Oryzias latipes: one gene and its partners. The protein of the gene in region 2 interacts with the protein of the main gene of each other region in a biochemical or structural test. Links are inferred from orthologs where the notes say so. Each region holds a gene or a part of one and is shown on either strand. Other genes may lie near its edges. The genes, in order: prpf38a, SRSF protein kinase 2, luc7l and rbm15.

Region 1 (5,242 bases), on a different chromosome or scaffold from region 2:
CTAACCCTGGTCCTCAAGAGCCTCAACCCTGCCCCAACCCCTAACCCCTTATCTTTGTTTCTAAATCACAGCTAAAAGTTTTTTTTTTCAAATTGCCTTTTTTGTCTGCTACTAATTCACGCTAATTTGAATGAAGAAATACTCAGAAATGCAATTTTGAGCTTAATTTCTTAATATATGTCCATCATCAGAAAATGCTATAGGAACATGTTAAAAACAAGATTTTCGGTGGAGTGGGTCATCAAAAATCGCCTTTTATCTATTGTTTCACAACCCTTCAACTTTTTTTTGCTGTGTTATGAAATGTCAAGTAGAAAACAACCTGTCTAATATTCATAAATTAAGCTAATCAACGAATTCTTAAGCAAATGCTGATTTTTGTTGTTGTTGTAATTCATGCATTTAAGCTTCTTAAAAGGGACAAAGACCATAAAAGATGAGCCTAGATGCAAATTAAAAAATATGGAATACAAAGAGATAAACAAAGCAAATAAACATGGAATAAAATTAACAGTAAAATACCTTGTTTCCTCTAATTCTCACTTTTAATGAAAAATTTTGTGCTGTAATGTGTCTTTTTCAAACCCCTGAAGATATGGTAACAGATGAAAATGACCAGAGACCAAAAAAATTCTTTCTAGCTTTTTTTCCGATTTTTTTCATAACCGTTTGGTGTCACGTCTGTCAGATATGTCCGTCTTCTTGGAGCCATGTACATGCGGTTGACCGGCACCGCCGTGGACTGCTACAAATACCTGGAACCGCTGTACAATGACTACAGAAAGATTAAGACCCAGAACAGAAATGGAGGTAAGACACAGAAGATTAGAATCTTTCTCATCTTTATTCATTTTTTGGCTTGCATACAGAAAAAGATCAGGTTTCCAACATGGAAGCTCCCTTGCTGCTCCTCCCACATGCTTTTGGACTCACACTGAGCTTTCATGCATCTTCCTCCTTTGAGCGGACTCTGACATGTGGATCCAGACCTGGACAAGGAGTGACACATGTAAGCCTTCATGAAGCTCTGTTAGGTTGATGGATTTTTCTGGTTTTTGATGCAGAGTTTGAGCTGATGCACGTCGACGAGTTCATAGATGAACTTCTTCACGCAGAGAGAGTGTGTGACATCATCCTTCCTCGACTTCAGGTGGGTAACTTCCCAGAAGCCCCCTTTGACTCATAATTGGTTGTACAGTAATGTACAACTATCAGTTGTAGATTTAGAATGTCATACTTGTTTTATCTTTTAAATAGTGCATTTTAAATTTGTAATCTTTAAAAGAAAAAAACTGTCAGTTATACATTTTATTGAAGCTACTGGACCAGTTTTTTTTGGGGGGGGTGTCTATATTTTCCGAAAGCTCTGTAGTCTGTCTCAAATTTATGTTTTAGTTCATGGGGAAAGCATTGGATAGAAATGAAATTAGGGCAAATAGTTTTTCTACACAGTTACCGAGAAATGTGTCTGAAAGAGGAATTTTTTTGTGTTTTTATATTTACTTTAATCGGTTTCAAATCATATTCGTAACCATTTGGATTTTGTTTTTCATTAAAAGGCTTACACCATTCAAAATCAGGTTTTTGAGCTTTTAAGTGTATTGTAATGTTTATTTCTCACTATAAACCCCAAAGCGGTGTTTTGATCCGTTTACGCATTTCTGGGTATTCCTCTAAAAATCTGCATTCTGAGCACCGGCGCCTCCTAACCCACGAAAACGAGCGGGTCCTCACATTGTGACATCATTAAGTGGAGAACAGTCGAAGGGGCAGGAAGAGTCTGCACTGCCAGCACCGCCCCCAGGCTAACACACAAACAATAAATTAAAAGATAAAATAATCAAACATTGATTAAAAATAAACATCAATGCTACTTGCACCTCACGCTTCCCAGCCTGATTTCTCTCTATTAAAATGCGAGCACTAACCTTTGAAATGTGTTTCCTTTATTATTTTGTAATAAATTATTTTGTTGTCATCATTTTTGTGGTTCATTGCAATACATCGTGTCCCCGTTTGTAATTCTTTGCGGACTTTGGACCTCGTCGTTTCTTCACCAAACAAGTGAAGACTCAATGTGTAGTAATGGCGCTTGTGTGTCATGCCGTATGTCCCGTGACGGCCAATCCAGTAACAAATAACAATGAACAAAGATGTAACAACAGTTTTGTCTTTGAGAATTTTTGAGTAAAAACAAACAAGTGACCCCTTTCCTCCATAAAGTCATCGTATCCTTTCCTGTGTGTCACAGAGGAGGCAGGTCCTGGAGGAGGCAGAGATGCTGGACCCTCGGGTCAGCGCTTTGGAGGAAGACCTGGATGAAGTGGAAAGCAGTGAGGAAGAAGATGAGGAGGACGAAAAGGTAACGGCCTTTGATGATGTGTTGATCTCTTGGTTTGGCCGAATATCATTGCAGGAGTTATAACTCCGTGTTTGCTTTCCGTGCCCACAGCCAGAGCGACTGCACTCCCCCGAACCTCACAGGCGGAGTTACCGTGACAACGACAGACCTCGCCGCTCACCGTCGCCACGTTACAGACGCAGCCGCTCACCCAGACGGTGGGTGTTGTCTCAGATCTTATGTCGTTCATGTACAGTGCTCAGCATAAATGAGGACACCCCACTACATTTGTCCGAAAACCTTCAGTGTTCTTTTGGAATTAACATTTTTCTACACAGGTGGACCATTGATTGCAAACCAGATATTTTAAGTTGCACACAAAAACGTGTGTTTTTGTTTTTTGACCTAACAAATTAGGTCACGCCCACGTTGTAAAAAGGAGTACACCCCAGTCAGAGTCTTAGGAGAAAAGCCAAACTTAAGACTACAGAATTCTAATTATCAGGCATTCAACCACAAGTGAGTCTACTGATTCATTTAAGACGTGTACAGCACAGAGGTGGCTAGAAAAGAGCATTTAACCAAAGAAAAGCCTGTCCTTTCTCAGATATTGTGACATTTCTTTTCCATGGGTAGCTATCGGAGACAGCATGAAATGGGAAGGGCTTTTTGGATCGTAATCTAAAAATTTAAGAAAGATGGAAGTGCAACCATCTTACAGAGACGTCCAGGCCGTCAACAGAAGCTAACATCTGAACAGGAGCGTCTTCTGATGAGAAAGGTTGAAGAAAATCGCCACTGTAGTTCACTGCAGTTAGCTAAAGCAGTAGAACGCCAAACTGGAGTGACCGTTTCCCGTGACACCATCCGGCGCACGCTGCAGAGGAATGGCACGCATGGTTATTGTCCACGAAAGAAGCCTTTCCCAAAGCCCGTGCACAAAAAAGCACGTCTAGAATTAGCTAAAAAAGATAAAGGCCTCAATACTCTGAAGTGATGAGACAAAGATCCCCCTTTTTGGAACTAATGGTTTTAAAACTATGGTGTTGCTGAAGTGAGAATTTCAAAGAAAAATGCATGGTGCCTACAGTGAAACATGGTGGTGGCAGTGTGCTGATGTGGGGCTGCTGGTGTCGGGGAGCTGCATTTCATTGATGGCATCATGAACTCAACAATGTACTGCTCTATACTAAAGGAGAAGATGCTGCCATCACTTTATGCACTTGGTCAAGGAGCACTTTTCCAACACAACAATGATCCAAAACACACTCCTGAAGCTACTGCTGCATTTCGGAAGAACAGGGTGAAGGTGATTGGATGGCCAACAGTGTTAGAAATAAGGGGGAAAAAATGGTTGTCCGAGGCAAGTAAACTTGGTTGTCCTCCCCAATTTTTGGTTTTCCTTCGATACCAATGAATTCAACAGCAACTAAACCTACTCAGATGTCAGTACTTACATCTTTATTTCTTCTATACATCTAATATTAACTGCCTCTTATGATGGACATTTAAAAAACTCTTTAAAATTAAAAACAAACATTTTACTAAATACTGAAGCATCTGGTTACACAAAGTATTGCCAAAAACTTGAAACCAATATCTTTATAACTAGTATCTTTACACAGATTTAAATATATTGGTTATTTTTTTCTTTGGTTTTTGATAATTGTTCCTTAAAGAATATAAAATACCAAAACTGTTGTAAAAAATTTAGAATATTATATCAATCCCATGGAAAAAGTTTTTTTTTCCAGCTCATGTCAGTCTGTTCTGTTATGAGTGAAAGTTATAGTGTTTATGAATGTGTTTTAAATCTTTTTGCGTGTTTTTGGAGACCTCTAGCGGTCGCGCCAGGTACTGTTGTTCAACACTTCTATTTGAAAAATCTTTATTGAAAAGTGCACATGTAGAAACAGAAAGGATTCGTTAGCATGATGCATGCACTTCGTTTGTCGGTGGAAAGAATTAGCTGCATACGTCTCAATTCAGAGGTTACCAAAAACTAACCCGTGAAACTTGAAAAATAGTCGAAAAATACCAAAATGTTGAATAAAAGACCAGGTTGTCACACGGACAACCATCAGGTTCATTTTGGTTGTCCTCCTTGAAATCTGGTTGTCTCGGACAACCGGTTTTGAACGCTGGTCAAGGATGTCTCCTGATCTGAACCCAAGTAAGGAATTCTGAAGAACAAGTTGAGCATCACTCTCCATCCAGCATCCAGGCTGTAAAAGAGGTTCTTCTTGAAGAATGGAAAAAGATACACGTTGAAATATGTCACCAAGTTGTTCATGAAATACCTAGAACAGTGTTTTTCAACCAGTGTGCTGCGGCACACTAGTGTGCCGTGGAAGATGGTCAAGTGTGCCGTGGGAAATTCCCCTCATTAACTGATCTAAAAACATTTCCCATCTCCAGGATTTCAGCTCTCTGTTCATCCAAACAGGCCCTGATAAAACTCTGAGGAGTTAATAATATAAAAGATCGTAAAATACTTTTTCTTTGCGTTTATTTTATTTTATTAAAGACATATTGATAAGAATGACGGTACAGTACCGCGATTCAGCTGCAGCTTCGGCTGTATTTTGGAAAAGTCCCGCCCCTTTAACTGTCTCCACCAATCATTCTTGGGGGGCTTAATCACATGTCATCAGTCTGACCAATCAGAAGTGGTTAAAGTCTTCACTTCCTTGTCCCGATTTAGCTCGTAAAGTCGCTCAGTTCTAACAAAAATACCAGCTAAAGCTCGTCTTTAGCGGTGTAGCTTTCCACAGAATCTGGTATCAGACCGTGGAACAAGTGAACAAAACAATGAGGCTCAGAGACGCGATCTCCAGCCGTTTTATGCACTACATCTCCCATGATGCATTGGGTTGTGAGAGTGACAGCGCACAAGGAGAT
Region 2 (5,109 bases):
TGATGGAAAGAAGGATTTTGCTCAGAGTTAGGTATTTTTTCTCAGTTTCATAGTTGTTTTCTTCACGATCCCTCTAAATGAATTCTAAATAAAGGTGTCCTCTGTATTCACAAATGCTAGAAGCAAATTCATTAAATGTTATAAACAAATTTCCAAGATGTTAAAACTCCCAAACTCAGATCAGCAACGACAACAATCCTGGTCTCAAGTCAGTCACCAGGACAACACGATTTGATCATTATTTCTACCCTAAACTAAAGTCATTTTTCCTCTTGTTTCCTCTCATCAAAAGCATAAACACTTTACTGAGGATATCCAGACGAGGCAGTACCGGTCCATCGAGGTCCTGATTGGAGCGGGCTACAGCACTCCGGCTGACATCTGGAGTACTGCCTGTATGGTGAGGAAGGTTTATTAAGTAAACCGTCCACTGAAAGGAATCGCTGTTTTACTGTTTGCTTGTCTGTTTAGGCCTTTGAGCTGGCCACGGGAGATTACCTGTTTGAGCCTCATTCTGGAGAGGATTACTCCCGTGACGAAGGTGAGGATTTAAATCTTCATGTCCTACATCCTATGGATCCAGATTCATACTGTGATTCCCATGTTTGTGTATGAAAGCAAAGAAGCAGACACATCTGTGCTTTAAATACAGTGGTGGACAAAATTGTTGGTACCCCTCAGTTAAAGACAGAAAGTCCCCAATGCTCACTGAAATGACTTGAAACATTCAAAAGTAACAATAAGTTAAAATGTATTGAAAACTAAATAATCAAAATCAGCCATTACTTTTGAGTTTTTGACTAACAAAATTATTTAAAAAAAAAAAAACTAATGAAATAGGGCTGGACAAAAATGATGGTACCTCCATGAAAGACTGAGAACTAATTGTCCAGGGGGTCATGATGAACTCAGTTATGTCCTTTAATTGACATCACGGCTGTTTTCAAACCCATAATCAGTCAGTCTACCTATTTAAAGGGAGACAAATAGTCACGTTGCTGTTTGGTGAAAAGGTGTGAACCACACTGAACATGGACAACAGAAAGCATGTGGGCTTTCACGTCATTTCAGCATTGTGGACTTTCTGTCTTTAACTGAGGGGTACCAACAAATTTGTCCACCACTGGATGGGAGTTGGATTTTCTCCATTGTTTACATACTCAACCTCTTCTTTGTTTTTTAAACTCTAAGTAAAATAAAAATTACGTTTCCCAATAAAGAATAATTTTTTCATTTAAAGTAAGTCCCGCTCCGATCATCTTTTGATCTATTGTAAAGTTGTCTTCTAATTATGAATATGCTGTTTTTAGCCAAACTTTAAACGGCGCAAAGCAACTCTACCCGCACTTCCCATCATCTATCTAGTTATGTGCACTTCCTCTAGCTTACAGCCCCTCACACGGCCAACCTAACAACACTGGTGAGCAATATTGGAGCCACCCAGATTCCAGCTCAGACGAGGAAAACAAAGACGTACGTGGATCTAGTCTTCCACAAGAAGCGGAGCAGGGAGCTTGTGGCCCACCCAGTGTGTTTTCTATCTCCCAAATATGCTCAGAATTGGTTTTGTCTGCTCCTGATTTCCCAAAATTGAAATAAAGAAATATTAAGAGATACAAATTGAAGCTTTATAAATGTGCTCCATCATGGGAAAAATTCCACAAGAGCATATTCAAAAACTCAATTGATATCAAAGTGGATCTTGAATCTTTTAAATGTCCCCTTTTTGTCATTTGTGATCAAACTTTTGCCCAATTTAATTCGGGTTTGAATTTTATTTTCTAGAAATATTTTCAACCGTGACACCTTTGATTTTTCTAAATGTATTGAACATTGGAGAAAAACTGAAGCACCAAAAGAGGAACATGTTGTAAATGTAATTTAAAAAAACCCTGATAAGTTATCTTAGTCGACCCCCACCCCTTTCCCAACGCCGTTCTATCTGCTGCTGTTGATCCTGACCTTCAATCTGCAGCTGTGCCTCCACTCATCTCCTCACTCAAACCTACAGTTTAGAGATTTTGTGAGCACACAGGAAGTACTGCTTTAGTATAGAATGGATTCTTTGTTTTTGCATGTGCTACTGTTATTTCCTGCATGTTTTTAAAGTAAAGATTTGTCTAGATTCTTAAAAATGACTAGAGAGCTTTTAATCTGTTGCTATAAAATCCCACTGACTGTAATATTTTCTTTCCTCACCTGAGCTGTGGAGGCACAGTTTAACACTTTCACATCTTCACTCTCTGCGACTTTCTCAATTTTTCTCTCTTCTCCCCCCTTCCAACTTTTTGTTGTTGTCCCCCTGACATTTTTATTCTTTTAACACCATTTTTCTATTTCCCCTGTGTGGTTTCTTTCTGGTTTTATTATTCCTCCTCCTCCCTCTCCTCCCTTTGGCACCTTTTTTCCTCCCCTTCTCCGCTCGACCCTCTTTCCTTCGTAGACCACATAGCCCACATCATAGAGCTGCTGGGAAGTATTCCGAGGCACTTTGCTCTCTCTGGAAAATATTCCCGGGAGTTCTTCAACAGAAGAGGTAGCGCTGGCCAGAGAACTGGTGGGACCGGCACACGCACATGCCAAACAGGAGCAGAAATGGACAATGGCGGATTCTTGCAGAATGTTGAGCCAACTTTAGAAAAAGAGATTTTTCTTTGACAAAGTGACCAAAAGCAAAATAAACCAAATCTAAGAAAACGGCTCATCCACAAACTCTCTTTCTGCATGTCCATGCCGTTCCTTGAGGCAGCAGTGTGTGTCCGTACCGTGCAGCCCAGTGTACGTGTGTGTTGATGTGTGTGCATGCTGTAATGCTGAACCGTGCCTGTTCCCTTTGTGACGTATGGTGGGCAGACCACATCGCTCTGATCACGGAGCTCCTCGGGAAGGTCCCGCGCAAAGTGGTCGCTGCCGGGAAGTACAGCCGAGAGTTTTTCTCCAAGAAAGGTAAACGGCTTGCTGGTTGTTGGTTGGTTAGCTGTGGTGGGGGCCTCAACCTGCAGCGCAGGAGCGCCACAAGCCCAGATCAGACCTTTGTCTGGGAAAGTTCCCACACTTTGTTGTTCAGATGAGGAGCTACAGGTAAGTTTGCAATGCTCAGTAAAATGTAGAAAAAATGGTCAAGTCCCACTCTGATCATCTTTGGATCTATTTTCAAAGAGTTCCCAGTGGTCTTTTAGTTCTGAGTTTTCCGTTTTTAGCCATATTTTCTACATATTTGTAGAACTTGCACAATTGGTGACTGACTAAAAGCTTTTTTGTCCCACTGTAGCAAGGCTGATAAGAAACGTTGTTTGATACGTTCAGCTTTAGGCTTGAAGCAGGTTTAAACTAAGCAACTAAGCTTCTCTGGATGTATTCTGCAAAACGAGGTCATGCTTTCTATGGATCTTCAGTCTGAATCATTTCTGTGGAGAACATCAGTGTTAGCATTTCTAGCTGTGCAGCCTGTGTCTGCATCCATTTGGTTCTCAAACCTCCAAAGCTCAACACGAAGAAAGAGTTTTGCTGCTTTTGTTGCACAATGCAATGATGCTTTCAGGTGTTGCTGGGTTTGACTGACTGACTGACTGACTGACTGACTGACTGACTGACTGACTGACTGACTGACTGACTGAACTTAAAAATGAAAAACGGTCATCTAGCTGCAAGTGTGGAAGTCTTTCTAGCGTTAGCATTGATAGCAGCCCTAAAACACTTAAAGCACTTGTCATTTTAATTCCACTCATGCGTTATTAGAACATGTTATTGAACTTTTCCTTCTCATCTTCACTGGACAAATACTTTATGCTGGAAGGTTTTGAGGTGAAGACAGAAAGAATGTAATGGTTACAAACACCAAATAAGCTTATCATGACTAAAAGCCTGTTTTAAAACTTTTCCGCTCTGTCTGAGGCTACAGTTTGAAGTTGGAGTCCCACTTTTGGAATCCATTCCCAGTCGTCTTTAAACTATGATTATGGCTCTTTTAGCCAAAAAAAAAAGCAGCAGTAACTCCTTAGAAATTTGCCTCATAGTTGTGGGCGGAGCTGTAGGTGCAGAATAAGCCTGCCTCCCTTTCCCATCATCCATTGTTTTACACTGCTAGTCTGCAAGTCCTCACAACTCCAAGCTAACATTACAGGTGCAACAAAAATGGCGAGCACTATTGGTTCTGTCTCGCCGTACAGTGTCTTTAAATAATATGTGGAAATCCCTTCTGTTTGGGCCGGGTGAGGTATGAACCCGATAGAGCTGATGACCGCTGCACTCTCCTTTCTGCTAGTTTACTCTTTACAATGAGATGGGAAGATCCGGCCTTTGATGTCTCTATCCGAGGTCTGAGTCCACACTTCGTGTCTCCGTGTTCTGCCTTTTATCTGGTTTTGCTGCGTTAATCTAGACCCGCTTTCCGGGTCTGTCTCTGGGGTCTCTGCTGTCTTGCTCAAAGGCGCTCGGCAGGATTCTACTGGAGTCAAATCTCTGTTTCATCCCCCATCATGTGCAAAAGAAAGGGGTTACCACGGCAACCACATTTTTAAACTGGACTTCTTAAGAGTCTGAGTCTGTCGTATAAATGAAATGACAAAAACATAAAAGTGAATTTGAAGTCCCACTCTGATTGATCTATTGTAAAGCGTTCCTATTGGCCTTTTAATTAAAATTGTGCCGTTTTTAGCTAAAATTATAGAAAAAAACTGATTCATTTTCTAGGACACTGATTCTGCAGAGCATTGGTTCATTAGAAATTTGCCTCTGAGTTGTGGGTGGGACTGTTGATGATAGCCCGCCCTCACTTCCCATCATCCATCTGTTTACTCACTCTTCCACGAGCTCCCAGCCAAGCTAACATTACAGGTGCACCAAAAATGGCAGCCAATATTGGAGCTATTCTGCAGTAAGGTTTTGAGTCAGATTCCAGTTGTTGTGTTTTTAGTGAGTTCAAAACTCTTGATAACTCTCGATAGTACTACTATAGTTGGTACTCACTGCAGTTTTTCCACATGTACGATTTTTCATGTATGTGCATGAATGTTCATTAAAATAAGGAAAGCTTTGATGTTTGTGCTTCAAATGCATTAAAATGCAAGGATGAAAATCAAGACTGCTGGTATCTGAAAGTTCTCTCAG
Region 3 (6,276 bases), on a different chromosome or scaffold from region 2:
GTCTTTCCTGAGAGGAGAACCAGCTGAGTCTGCAAACCAGAAGGGGAGATATGAAGGTTAATGGAGTCATTTTCTCTCAGCATTAGTAAATATCATCTTTGTCACTAACCATTTAGACATTTTATTACTAATAGAGCAGCAACAAATTGAAAAATAATGTGTTTGAAGATTCAAAAAGTGTGAGTGATAAATTGAACGACACATTTTTTCCATTTACCTGAGTGCTGTTAGAGGCCACTAGAAGCACATCACTGACTTTGTCCCCATCAAGATCTGGGACAGTGAGAAAAGGCAAGGAGCTCTGCAGACCTGTTGGCTGCGGCTGCTGCCAAATGACTTTACCTAACAAAATTAAAGGTTAGTAGATTCAGTTTTAGTGTCACTTTTATGGGAGTTTGTGTTTACCTAACTTTTATTTTTTTTTCAGTTAATAAAGTATTAAATCAACAGAACAGAATTAATAATTATCTTGGAAAAGTGTTTCCGAGGGATATAGGACATTCCAAACAAGTAGGAATCCACAGTTTTATCAGGGTATTTGCTTTTTATTTCCCATTTACTTATAACTCTGGATGTGTAGAGTCTTTAGAAGTAAGCTTTCTTTCTTTTTTGTCATGCAAACGTCTATATACTTGTAAAATTGTCAAAGAATGGGGGGGGGGGGGGGGGAAGCAAAAACACTTTTGTAATAACTTACCTACGGTATTCTTTCATTTATAAATGTACTATTTATATCTAAATATCAACTTTACAAAAGTAACAGGTGCTCGGTAAGTCACTGACCGGTGTATTTGTCGATGGCTGTAAGGTTGTGTGAGTGAGACAGGAGGCAGTGCCAGCTTTTCTCTGCTTCTTTCTGCTGACCACACTGGGCCCAGTAGAACTCAGCTTCCAGCGGCGTCTCCCACAGCGTCTCTCCCTTTGTGCCGTCCACCCCGATAAAAAACAGACATGGCGAGCGTAGTCCTGTAAAACAAGATTTAAATAAGATTATGTCATATTAGGAGCAATTTTGATTACAAGAGCATCTTTTTTTTTGTTGAATTGAAGCTGGATTTGATGTTTTTACCTGCATCTGCACATGAGTTGTTCTTTGAACCTTCTGTGTTTTTGAGGACAAACAGAATATCCACCACATGATCACTGCTTGCATGTTCAATAGCCAGGAAGTCATAGGTTGCTGGGGTATAAAACAAGAAAACTGCAGTTGGAAACAAACTCTTCTTCAATATTAAGATAGAAAAAACAAACAAACATCTGATGCACCTGCGTCAGAGAAAGTCCTGTTCCAGGTTTTGAGGTATTGGGCTCTTACGGGACAGGGGAGGATGAAGGAGAAGGCAAACACGATGGTGAGGCAAAGGAACAGTGACAGGAAAAAGATTGCTGTTCTCCAGTGGGTCCGTTTGGGGACATCAACGTATTTGATAGAATCCCTCTGCTCCGATGCCGGTGGTGCCGTTTCTGCTCCATCTTCTGTCCTGAGAGGATCACCCTCGGTGGCACGCTCTGTCGATGCCATCTGTGCCTCAACGCATTACCAGCTAACAAACCGGCAAAAGTATCATGAATGTCAGAAAAGAAGAAAGCAAGACCACATCCTCACATTGTGGTGGCTCGTTTTAGCATCTGTGTGGAATTGAAATTCAGTCTCTATCTATGAGCAGAGCCAGACTAAACTCGATGACAGTTATAAATTGGGGGACAAAGAAAATGAAAAAAAAAGAAAAAAGAGCCAGTCACTCAGTGTTTGCTTAGTCGAGTTGCTTCTACCTCGTCAACCTTTGTGGACTAGTGTCTCTATGCAGTTGTGCCAACACCAGAGCATTCTCCTGATAAAATCTAAAAATGCAGGAAGAAAAACACCAGCTTTGAAATGAAATTACGCAGCCTGTTCATATTTGTTATGACCGCAGGGTAAGCCGTAAAAAATTACAAACAGACCTAGGAACCTTGGCGAATATGTTTACATTTTAACTTAGAAATTTATCTAAAAAAACGTTGTTTTTGTTTGGGGGCCATGATCCGTTTTGGTTGGTTTCATGGCTAATGTTGGTTGGCCAATTTGTTGATCAGAAACAACCAGAATCATTTTCAAACATTTTTCCTTAAAGATAAAGTTTAAAACTTATATTTAAAAATATATATTTTAAAAGGTAAAGCAGTTTTCTTACTAAAAATCGTTCACAGTCGTTCCTTTCGTCTGTTGCGGGTTATTGGGGACAAGAAGCTAGCATCAGGACGAACAGTGCAATAGCTTTGTTTGTGTATTAACCCAGGATTTGTCTGTCAGGTTCGCCTACATTTGTAGATTTAAAACATACAAAACGTTTAAATCATCGGCTACAAAGATGAATAAAATATAAATAAAAACACGTATACGTACTGCATTGGGGGAGCCTATAAGTAAACGAGCTTGCTTGAAATGTATTTAGCCTGTCAGTCAAACTTTAGAGAGAAAAACTAAAACAATTTTATTGGTGTGCTTTGATTGGTTGAGTTACTTTTTCCAAGAATCACTGCGATTGGTTGAAAACTGATGTCAGAAGGACTGCCAGTTGCTGTCGTCATTTCCCCAAAACAAAACGGAAACTGACGAGCTCGCGATATAGGGGAAATCTGTTCTGGGTAATGGTTGGATGAATAATTTGTTCGACTAACCCTGCGTATAATCCAAGGAACCGTTCTCGGGTTATTGACTTGAAATAAAAAGGTTGTTGAAGGAACACCCTCGATAATGTCTGCCCAAGCTCAAATGAGAGCTCTGCTCGACCAACTCATGGGAACAGCGAGGGATGGTGAGTTGCCGTAGCATGCTAACGGAGCTAGCTAGCCAAGATGGAGTCTCTGCTGAGGCTGGCTTGTGTTGGCGTGTGATGGACAGACCTGCATGAATGAGTGTGCCACAGAGGGCTGCTTGTAACAGGAGACCGTTATTTTGAGGCAGAAAAAAATAAAAAGAATACAAGATTTTGATGTTACTTGTTGTGGCTTTTTTTACATCTCGATGAGTTTACCTCTACTCTTTGTTATCTTAGCGATACAGCTCGTTAGCTAATACTTGCGTAACGTTTATTGTGAAGCAACTCAATCATTGGACACCATGGTGTTAAGACCTGGACTGAGTTCAGTTTCCTACCTGATCATAGCTTTGGCAAATTGTATGTGTATATATATATATATATATATATATATATATATATATATATATATATATATATATATATATATATATATATATATATATATATATATATATATATATATATATATATATATGACTTAACTTAGCTTAACTTGTGACGTTACAATTTCTTCGAAATGGCGTGCGACATTAGAGGTTTTATATAAGTATAGAGTAATGTTAAATATGTTTGTATTCGTCAGTTAAGGTCTACCCTCCATGAATATATAAAAAAAAACAACTATATATTATTTTTCTGTAGTATTATTGTGCTACTACTGTCTCTTTAATGTATTAGCTTAGTGTAGTAGCACACTTACTACTGATATAAAAACATAGCTTTGTTAAATACTTTATTTTGTGCTACATGACATAATTTGACCAACATTACTGTCAAGAAACGCATTAGTGACATTTCTGTAATCCAGATATTGTCAATAAATTGCATTGAGGGAATTTTGTTTTCCTAAGACTACTAAGGAATTTATGGGATGATCAGTTGATAAATGTAAGGTGGTGAATTATCTCCCACTCCATTGTTAAAAATTGAGATTTAAGTTAAAAATTGAGATTTAAGTTGGAAAAACATTTGCAGCTCCATAAATCAACTCAAAACAACTTTTAAAAAAGTGAACTTGTGTTGTGAGTTTGTTGTTGTATGCCTGATGAGATTGATACAAATTTCTTCCCATACATTTGTTGCATACAAATTGAACAATTGTGGCCCCTTTATTTTATTCATTAAGGTTCAGTGTATCATTGCCAGCCTACATCAATCTGCAAAGGAGTTGCAGAAAAGCCTCATGTTCATCGAGCCGTGAGTCACACATGATTTTTAAAGATGTTATGAATAATATCCAAACAAATTGTTTGCCTTCCGGAATTTATTGTAGCTTTTCCTTTTATTTTAACACAAGTTGGTAACTCCTCAGTGGCACACAAATGCATAACAAGGTAATTGTTGTGTGGGACCAGATTTACAATTTGCAATAGTGCAACACAGCTTGAACTAAAACGTTTGTGCGCGTTGTATCAAAAAGAAAAAACTTTCAATTTACCTCACACTTTGCAGTCCATTACACGTCTATATTTCAGACGACAGTGTAATGCTTTCCACACTAAAAAGGTTACATTATTTACAGTCTGTTTTTTGTATGACTCCCAACTTCTTATCACAGGTATTGGCAAGAAAACTGTTCCCATTTATACTTTTCTACAGCGGGTTTTAATTCTGCAGCTGGGGTCTTGAAGATGCAGAAGGGTACAGTATGTGGTGCAGATCACAGTGTGTATAACTTTTTTGTTTTCCCATTCGATTTATGTTGAACTTTTTTTTTTTTTTTTTTTTGTAAAGTGACAAATTTAAATGAAATATTCATGAGAGAAGTGTAGGTCTTTTGTATTACCAATTTTGAAGAAGTGACATTTACTTATCACTTTTTTGCACTTGTTTATTGCTTTTTGGTGTTCCACAGTATAGAGTGGACAGTGAGCCAACAATACAAGTTTAAATGACTTGAGGCTGTTGCATAACAAAGTCATAATTGAGGTGAAGGTAAGCATGTAGAAATCCCAAGTTCAAAAATAAAAAAATAAAACAACAGAAAAAGCTTTAAAAAAACTTTTTTTAGTGATGCTGATAACATTTATTATGAATTTTTAAAACTTTACAGTAACAAGACTCATATTTTTATTTATTTTTTCCCCATCACAGTCTATTTTTCCCATCAAACTCTACAAAAACAAACATTTGCCAAATGGATGCACTTAAAACAAAGGATATCTAACCACTGATCTCATATGTGTGAGGTGGCTCTAATGTTTGGGTTTTTTGTTTTTGTACTGTTACAGGAGATGAAACACGGCAGAGGGTCAAGTTTACCGATGAGCGGGTGTGCAAAAGTCATCTTCTCAACTGCTGTCCACATGACATTCTGTCAGGAACTGTAAGGAGCCTCTATATTCTTTAAACTTTGTGACAAACGTCTTTGAATACATAAACATATTTGACATACTTTATAAATACATCATAGTATATTTATAATGATGAAAATAATGATCTTGTTTGCTATGTCTTTGTTAGCGTATGGACCTGGGGGAATGTACAAAGATCCATGACTTGGCACTTCGGGCGGACTATGAAATAGCCTCCAAAGAGAGAGATCTTTTCTTTGAGCTTGATGTAAGTGAAGCAATATGAGCAAGTCTTTTTTTTTTTTTTTCATTCTAAGAAAACTGTTGTTAAAGTCCCCCTATGACAATTGTTTTCTTTAATATAAATGTTCCCAGTGGTGTTTTGATTATAAAATTAATTCATTCATTCATTCATCTTCTTAACCGCTTTGTCCCTTTCGGGGTCACTGGGCTGCTGGAGCCTATCCCAGCCACTGTTTCGTTCTTAAGATCATGTTTTCTCAAACAAGACTTATTCTTTTTTTATTGGACGTAAAGGCAGTGGATCATCTGGAGTCATTCATTGCTGACTGTGACCGAAGAACTGAGCTCGCAAAGAAGCGCCTGGCTGAAACTCAGGAAGAGATCAGTGCTGAGGTGGCAGCAAAGGTAACGATTTACAGTCCTGTTTTCTTATTTCGTGTTTTGCCATCACACAATAGCTATTTCAGGCTGTGTGGTTTTACTTTCTTTTAGGCAGAGAAAGTGCATGAGCTGAATGAAGAAATAGGGAAGCTTCTGGCCAAGGCTGAGCAACTTGGAGCGGAAGGCAACGTGGATGAAGCTCAGAAGGTTCTGCAGGAAGTGGAAAAGGTCCGCACCAAGAAAAAGGATGCAGAGGTTAGTAAGGAGCGCTGGCCAAATGAAACCTCATACATGAATTGAGCAAACCTTTCCTTTACTAATACTTTAATTCATCCATGTTTGTTTCTGCTCAGGAGGAATACAGGAACTCCATGCCAGCCTCCAGCTTTCAGCAACAGAAACTCAGAGTTTGTGAGGTCTGCTCTGCATATCTAGGTCTCCACGACAACGACCGCCGTCTGGCTGACCATTTCGGTGGAAAGCTTCACCTGGGCTTCATTCAGATTAGAGAGAAACTGGACCAGCTTAAGGTATTTACCGGGTGCAGTCCTACC
Region 4 (6,449 bases), on a different chromosome or scaffold from region 2:
AACACAGTTATCTATCAAATTCACTAAAAGCATCATATCATTAAAACAATTTAAAATAGGTTACTTTACCGTGTACAGCAATAATTTTTATGGATGTTTACAGACCTTTGTTCACATTGGAACTGTTTAAGCGTCACATCTTGTACAACAAAAAAAAAAAAACCTTCAAAAGATGATTTAGCCATTAACTGTTTAAGAGAACTGGACCAAGCGAGTGTGACATCACCCATAGAGTGTGGCTTATACTTCCAGTTCCAAAGACCTTCGTCAATTCAGTCTGCAGTTCTTAACATCGCCGTGTTGGAACCAGAAATCGTTAATGAGCAGTAATCAGTCAGAGTCGGCCTGAGATAGCATTTTTATGGCAACCACTCTCCCCAATCAGGAGTGAGCTTGTTGGACGTCCACTCCTCTACCACTTGAAAGTGTGCTCTGGAGAATCAGTCAATCTAACTCTTGTTGTTTGACCACATGCTTTTATTGAGGCATCTGCTTGGTCAGTTTATAACTTGAATAAGTTGCACTTCCTGCGCTGCCAGGATGAATGCTTCAGTGCTGTCCTGTAGGCCAGGCCTTTCTAGCCATTGGTAGGACTTCTTGACATAAGCCACTTCCTTAATGGTCCAATGGGACATCCCATGTAGGGGCTTGTCCTCCCATGAGGATCTGTCCTATAGCACCGCATCCTCTGCTCCCCATTGCCTGAGACTTTCACAGAGCACACTGTCAATTGGGGCCTTGAGCTTGATGTATTCATGCATCTTGGATTTTTCATCCTGGATAGTGGTTTCCACGCTCAACAGTCCTCGGCTAACGGACATGGTGACCAGTACATTTACCAGCTTGTCTTGAAAAAAGTGTGCTTGATCAAACAAGGCTTGGGGTAAATTTGACTTCCTATTTTTCCTTCAGACCTTTTGACCACTTCCATCTTGTGGTACATTAAAGAACACCTGTCTTCCGTTAAAAGCAAATTCGAATGATGCCTGATACACTTTACACCTCAAATTCAGAACACACACACATACATACAGTAAAACAAAATGAAAAATGAATAAAAATTTTAAATCATACTTCCAGTTTCACTACTTTCTGGACACTTGCAAAGAGGCTTCCGATTTAGAAAATAAATCATATGGAACATGTCCATGTGTTTTTGTTTGTATCTTTTAATATTCAGTTAATATGTTGATATTTGGGTCATTCCAGAACTGGAGGACATTTGGGCTGCAAAATTCATGAAGAGCAAACTTTGACTTTTCTAATTCTCTGCTATATAATCGTCAATAAAAGGTAATATCTGTCAAAGGCTTGATTAACTTTGCTTACAGATCAACTGCGAAATATTTATGACATTATATTGATGATGACAAGACTTGATGCAACCTTGTTATCAATTTTTGCAAGTAACAGGGTTGCAAACATGTATTAATATTGACTTTCTCTCAGGAGTAGACGCTAGTTGTTTAGCTGTCACTGAGTACCAATAAGAAAATTAATGTGATTTCAATGGCATGCCTTTTTGCATTTCTGACCACCCCAGAATGAATGGTGATATCTTGTTTTTCTCAGTTGCTACTTTACATGCTAATTTGATTGCTTACTTACTCATAAAAAAGCAACAACAATAACAATAATTGTCTTACTCTGATTATAGGGAAACAGGGTTGCATGAGGCGGAGTGAGACATTCAATCTAGGATAACTATGTGTTAAAAATAAAAGATCCACGTAACTTTTGCTCTACCCATTCTTTTTGAATACTGTTTGATGATGTCAAGTCCAGCATATCACTCTTTGCTATATTCTAACCCTCTTACCTGTTATGGTAAAAGGAATTGTGTGGATTCGGTGGGAAACACATTGTATTGATCATAAATAATATTTGAAATACTTCTTTTATTTAAAAAAATCCCACGGTTACATAAAACACCAATCAAAACAAGATATACCAAAAACTGAATCTAAAATTTAATTTTAACTGCTTTTATTGAAGATTTAATTTGGACAATGGGGGACGGGACAAGAAAAAATGCATTTTAGGGGGTACATTGAGCTTATTTGGCATTTTTTAAATTATTTTCAGTAATTATTTTCACTTAGTTTTGCATGTGGATTATTTAAAATAGGTTTATTCTGAAATGACCCATTTTTTAATCCATCGCTGTGTGCGTGATTGACGGGATTTTAAAAGGTTTTAACCAATCGCCGCCCCCCAAACACCGGCCAATCAGCGCATGGAGGCGGGTCTTCTCACAAATCTTAACAAAATGGCGACTGTTGTTGTTTTGCCGCAGGGTCGGTAAATAAATTCTTTGAACGTATTGGATATTTTCTACATTATTTTGTGGAAGGAGTGCAGGAAAAAGCCAGTTACCACAAAGAGTTTACTCTTCGTGGGCTGCAATGAAAGGAAAGGAGCGGTCGCCGATTAAAAAACGGTCCCGGGCCTTGGACGACATTCGAGAGAGGGGAGGATGCCACCCGACCAGCAAGAAAATGGGGGCTCTCTCCGTTTCCAGTGGGAGTAATAATGGAAACAGTTCGTCCAAAAGCGACAGCGGCTCAACGAGACGGAGCTTGTTGGGTGAGAAAAGGGACAGAGATTTTGAGGGCCATAGTCGGACTGGAAATAATCACAGCTGTCAGTCTGCTGCTTCCAGCTCCGTGGGTAAAAACCACAACCTGAGCCTGTCGCTAGACCTAGCCTCCCCGCGAGCCTCTTCGCGCGCGGAGCAGCGTGTTCCGCCGCCCAGCACCGAGAGTGAGTACAAAACACTCAAAATCAGCGACCTTGGGAATCAGCTGAGCGAGGAGGATATAGAAGATGGGCTTTTTCATGAATTCAAAAAGTTTGGCGACGTGAGCGTCAAAATTAGTCGCAGCAACGACGAACGGATTGCTTTCGTTAACTTCAGGAAGCCGGAGGACGCCAGGGCTGCTAAACACGCCAGAGGCCGGCTCGTGCTCTACGACCGGCCGCTGAAGATCGAGGCCGTTTACACGAGCAGGAGGAGAAGCCGCTCCCCCGTGGAGAGGGACTTGTACAGCGCAGCACAAAGTCACAGACACTTGCAGAGACCCCTGTCGCCCACCGGCCTGGGTTACAGAGACTACCGGCTGCAGCAGCTGGCTTTGGGACGGCTCCCTCCTCCCCCTCCGCCCCCTCTGCCCAGAGAACTGGACCGGGACAGAGAGTTCGCCCTGTTTGAAGCCAGGGCACGTCCAGCTTTCCTTGCAGAGCGAGCAGCTTTTCGTGAAGAGGATTTAATATCTCCGGAAGACGACCAAAGAGCAAACAGGACTTTGTTTTTAGGCAACTTGGACATAAACATTGCAGAAGCAGACCTCAGGCGGGCTTTCGACAGGTTTGGAGTCATAACAGAGGTGGACATCAAGAGACCATCACGAGGACAGACCAGCACATATGGATTTCTTAAGTTTGAGAACCTTGACATGGCTCATCGTGCTAAGCTTAGCATGTCTGGAAAAATAGTGGGTCGCAACCCTATAAAAATCGGTTACGGAAAAGCAACACCCACGACCCGTTTGTGGGTCGGTGGACTTGGACCGTGGGTTCCTTTAGCTGCCCTGGCCAGAGAATTTGATCGCTTTGGCACTATAAGGACCATTGACTACAGAAAAGGTGACACTTGGGCCTACATCCAGTATGAAAGTTTAGATGCTGCTCAAGCAGCATGGACACACATGAGAGGCTTTCCGCTGGGAGGCCCAGAGAGAAGACTTCGGGTGGATTTCGCAGACACTGAGCACCGGTACCAGCAGCAGTTCTTGCAGCCTCTCCCTATTCCACCGTTTGACATGGTGGCTGACTCGTTTGTCCACCGCGCCACGCCTGAACCTCTGAGAGTCAGAGATCGGACTCCACCTCCACTTCACTTCAGGGACAGAGAACTCTTTCCAGCAACGGAGTGGCCCAACCCGGCCATTCGTGAGCGGGTCCGGGGATCCCCCTTTGAGCCTCTGGAACATTTGGAACGCGACCGGAGAACTCGAGAGCCTTGGTCTTTGGAGCGTGAGCTGCAAGGGCGAGAACCAGGACGTAAGAGACGCTTATTGGAGGATGGCCGTCACCTAGATCACTCTCCTGACAGCACTGAGAGGACAGTGAGACGTAGACGTTCTTCTCCAGATGGCAGTCCTGGGGGCAGCAGCAGAGACGGAGGACGTTTCAGTGACTCTGAGCATCCTGTGCACAGTGAAACGGCCTCACCAGCCAGAGAACATGTCATTAGCCTTGAAAGAGGTGGGGCGGATCGAAGGGTTAAAAGCCAGAGTCTTTCTGAGAAAGGACTCTCATCTGCTGGTGAGCGGAAACGCAAAGCGGGCGACAGTGGCAAAGTGCCTGCCAAGAGAGAACGCTCTGAAAGCAGCTCTAAAGGAGCCCAGCAATCCAAACCTGATGGCACCAAACTCATTGTGGCATGGCGCGGAATGCTGCTCCTGAAGAACAGCAACTTTCCAGCCAGCATGCATCTCCTAGAAGGTGACTACGGCGTCGCCAGCGACCTGCTCATCGACGGCTCAACCGGAAGGCAGGTGAGCGAGCTAAAGATCACGCAGCGTCTCCGTCTGGACCAGCCAAAGCTTGATGAGGTGTCTCGGCGCATCAAAGTCGCCGGTCCAGGCGGCTACGCCATCCTGTTGGCAGTTCCTGGAAGCACAGAGGACTCCTCTTCATCTGATCCTATGGCCTCAACCCAGCGGCCCCTTCGCAACCTGGTGTCCTACCTCAACCAAAAACAAGCAGCTGGGGTCATCAGTCTGCCTGTGGGAGGGAGCAGAGATAAAGACAACACAGGGGTTCTTCATGCTTTCCCCCCCTGTGATTTCTCTCAGCAATTCCTGGATTCCTCTGCAAAAGCTCTGGCAAAAAGCGAAGAAGACTATCTGGTCATGATTGTGGTTCGTGGAGCATCTTAAAAAAAAAAAAAGAGAAAAAGTCACAATGCACTATGTTCAAGTGGAATATAAGAAAAAACAAGTCTGCTGTTTGTCAGTAATTATTGCATGCTGTGTTCTGCATTGTGGGGTACACTAGTATGGTTCTTGAGTGTTTGTAAGGTGCCATGTAATTCACTAAAAAGACATATGGTGCCCTGCAACCAAACTAAAAGGTTCATCTTAAAAATATCAAGTGAGTATTTGAATTTGATCAGTCACAAATGCTTCATTACAAATTGATGATTTGGGGATTTATTAGTTAAAATTCAGATGTTCTGCAAGAATGAAAAACCTCAGAGTATTTACACAATAACTCGGTGATAAAAGAAGCCCAACATATAAAAATGACTTTATTTAATTTTTGCTTTTAGATCATTTTTTTTCTGATCCACTATGTTGCATTACCTCAGCCTGTGCTGATGGTGTTATTGTTGGTATTCTGAAAAAAACAGCAAACCCCCCCTTACCTTCACCTAAAGTGCAGTGAATTGTCAGCTCTTTCTGCTTTGAGTAAATTGTGAACTCAAGATACTTGAGGAAATGGAAATAAATGGTTCTATTAACTGTTATAGAATGGCAGTAACAAATATTTTTGTTGTAAAGGGAGAACAGATATTCCAATAAGGTTAAAACACATCACACAACTCTTCAATGGAACTACATCCGATAACTTAGCCGTGTTCTTTAGTTAAAATAACACCATTTCCGTTAAAAGTTTCAAAGAAAAAATGAGTTGTGCTCTGTGTTTGACCTCGGTTCCACAGTAGTTAATTGAAGGTCACCATTTGGTTAGAGTCCATGTATTTCAGCTGCAGTTTTGTGAACTTTTGCTGGGGGAGGGGTCAGGTTTTATTGAATCAAGTTCCTGAAATTTTTTGTTTTTTTTTTGCCGAAATGTAGCATAACTTGGGGATGCTAATATCTGTGTGTGGATAGCTGAACACTAACGTTTAAGCGGTGTTCCTGCCCAGGGAACAGCCCATAATATGCAAAACGAATGAATGCAAATACTTACATTGCAATTTTAGAATTTTATTCGTTTTAAAGCTTTTTTTTTAATTTAGTGCCCCCTTTTTTCCTCCACACATGGATGCTTGCAGAGTGAATAAGTTAAAGTACAGTTGAGCAGAAAAGCTGGAAGGTTTGGTGATTTGTGACAGTCCAAGACATTTACTTCCTGTAGACCCACAACAATCAAAATCCGTAACATGCTGTTATAGCGGGAGAAACCTGCTATTTTTTTTTTTTTTTTTACAGCAAGTAGATCCGTGCAGTTTTATGGTTTTAGATGTACATTAGCAGTAAATGTAAAATTTTAGAGCTCTTTAAGTATTTCTACTTATGCTTGCCAATATTTCCCCAAAGTCTGCTGACCCTATGAGCTCCAGTATGTTTGTCATGCAGTAGTTATTGTGTAAATGATAATTTGCTGACTTTGGTTTCATATGTACTGAAAACAATGTGTGGCAGACTTGTAGTACATGT

The links.
Region 1: of the proteins of SRSF protein kinase 2 (region 2) and prpf38a, one has a biochemical effect on the other in vitro, tested with the Homo sapiens proteins (2 studies listed by BioGRID and IntAct). The link is inferred for Oryzias latipes from reciprocal best matches to the Homo sapiens genes SRPK2 and PRPF38A.
Region 3: of the proteins of SRSF protein kinase 2 (region 2) and luc7l, one has a biochemical effect on the other in vitro, tested with the Homo sapiens proteins (2 studies listed by BioGRID and IntAct). The link is inferred for Oryzias latipes from reciprocal best matches to the Homo sapiens genes SRPK2 and LUC7L.
Region 4: of the proteins of SRSF protein kinase 2 (region 2) and rbm15, one has a biochemical effect on the other in vitro, tested with the Homo sapiens proteins (2 studies listed by BioGRID and IntAct). The link is inferred for Oryzias latipes from reciprocal best matches to the Homo sapiens genes SRPK2 and RBM15.

What each region holds. Positions count from the first base shown.
Region 1 is NC_019862.2:23,722,294-23,727,535, reverse strand, and holds part of prpf38a (pre-mRNA-splicing factor 38A), read left to right. Parts: intron 1-688; coding exon 689-810; intron 811-1,064; coding exon 1,065-1,150; intron 1,151-2,251; coding exon 2,252-2,362; intron 2,363-2,452; coding exon 2,453-2,559; intron 2,560-5,242. UniProt on the Homo sapiens protein: Involved in pre-mRNA splicing as a component of the spliceosome.
Region 2 is NC_019864.2:11,769,911-11,775,019, reverse strand, and holds part of SRSF protein kinase 2, read left to right. Parts: intron 1-292; coding exon 293-400; intron 401-471; coding exon 472-541; intron 542-2,443; coding exon 2,444-2,536; intron 2,537-2,853; coding exon 2,854-2,946; intron 2,947-5,109. UniProt on the Homo sapiens protein: Serine/arginine-rich protein-specific kinase which specifically phosphorylates its substrates at serine residues located in regions rich in arginine/serine dipeptides, known as RS domains and is involved in the phosphorylation of SR splicing factors and the regulation of splicing.
Region 3 is NC_019877.2:9,490,374-9,496,649, reverse strand, and holds the start of luc7l (putative RNA-binding protein Luc7-like 1), read left to right. Parts: upstream 1-2,561; 5' UTR 2,562-2,737; coding exon 2,738-2,798; intron 2,799-3,930; exon of another isoform or gene 3,931-4,001; intron 4,002-4,007; exon of another isoform or gene 4,008-4,739; intron 4,740-5,035; coding exon 5,036-5,130; intron 5,131-5,267; coding exon 5,268-5,366; intron 5,367-5,635; coding exon 5,636-5,746; intron 5,747-5,833; coding exon 5,834-5,977; intron 5,978-6,075; coding exon 6,076-6,252; intron 6,253-6,276. Other genes in the region: protein FAM234A, read right to left, coding at 1-29, 218-342, 784-966, 1,070-1,180, 1,267-1,522. UniProt on the Homo sapiens protein: May bind to RNA via its Arg/Ser-rich domain.
Region 4 is NC_019865.2:10,858,885-10,865,333, forward strand, and holds the start of rbm15 (putative RNA-binding protein 15), read left to right. Parts: upstream 1-2,241; 5' UTR 2,242-2,405; coding exon 2,406-4,943; 3' UTR 4,944-6,449. UniProt on the Homo sapiens protein: RNA-binding protein that acts as a key regulator of N6-methyladenosine (m6A) methylation of RNAs, thereby regulating different processes, such as hematopoietic cell homeostasis, alternative splicing of mRNAs and X chromosome inactivation mediated by Xist RNA.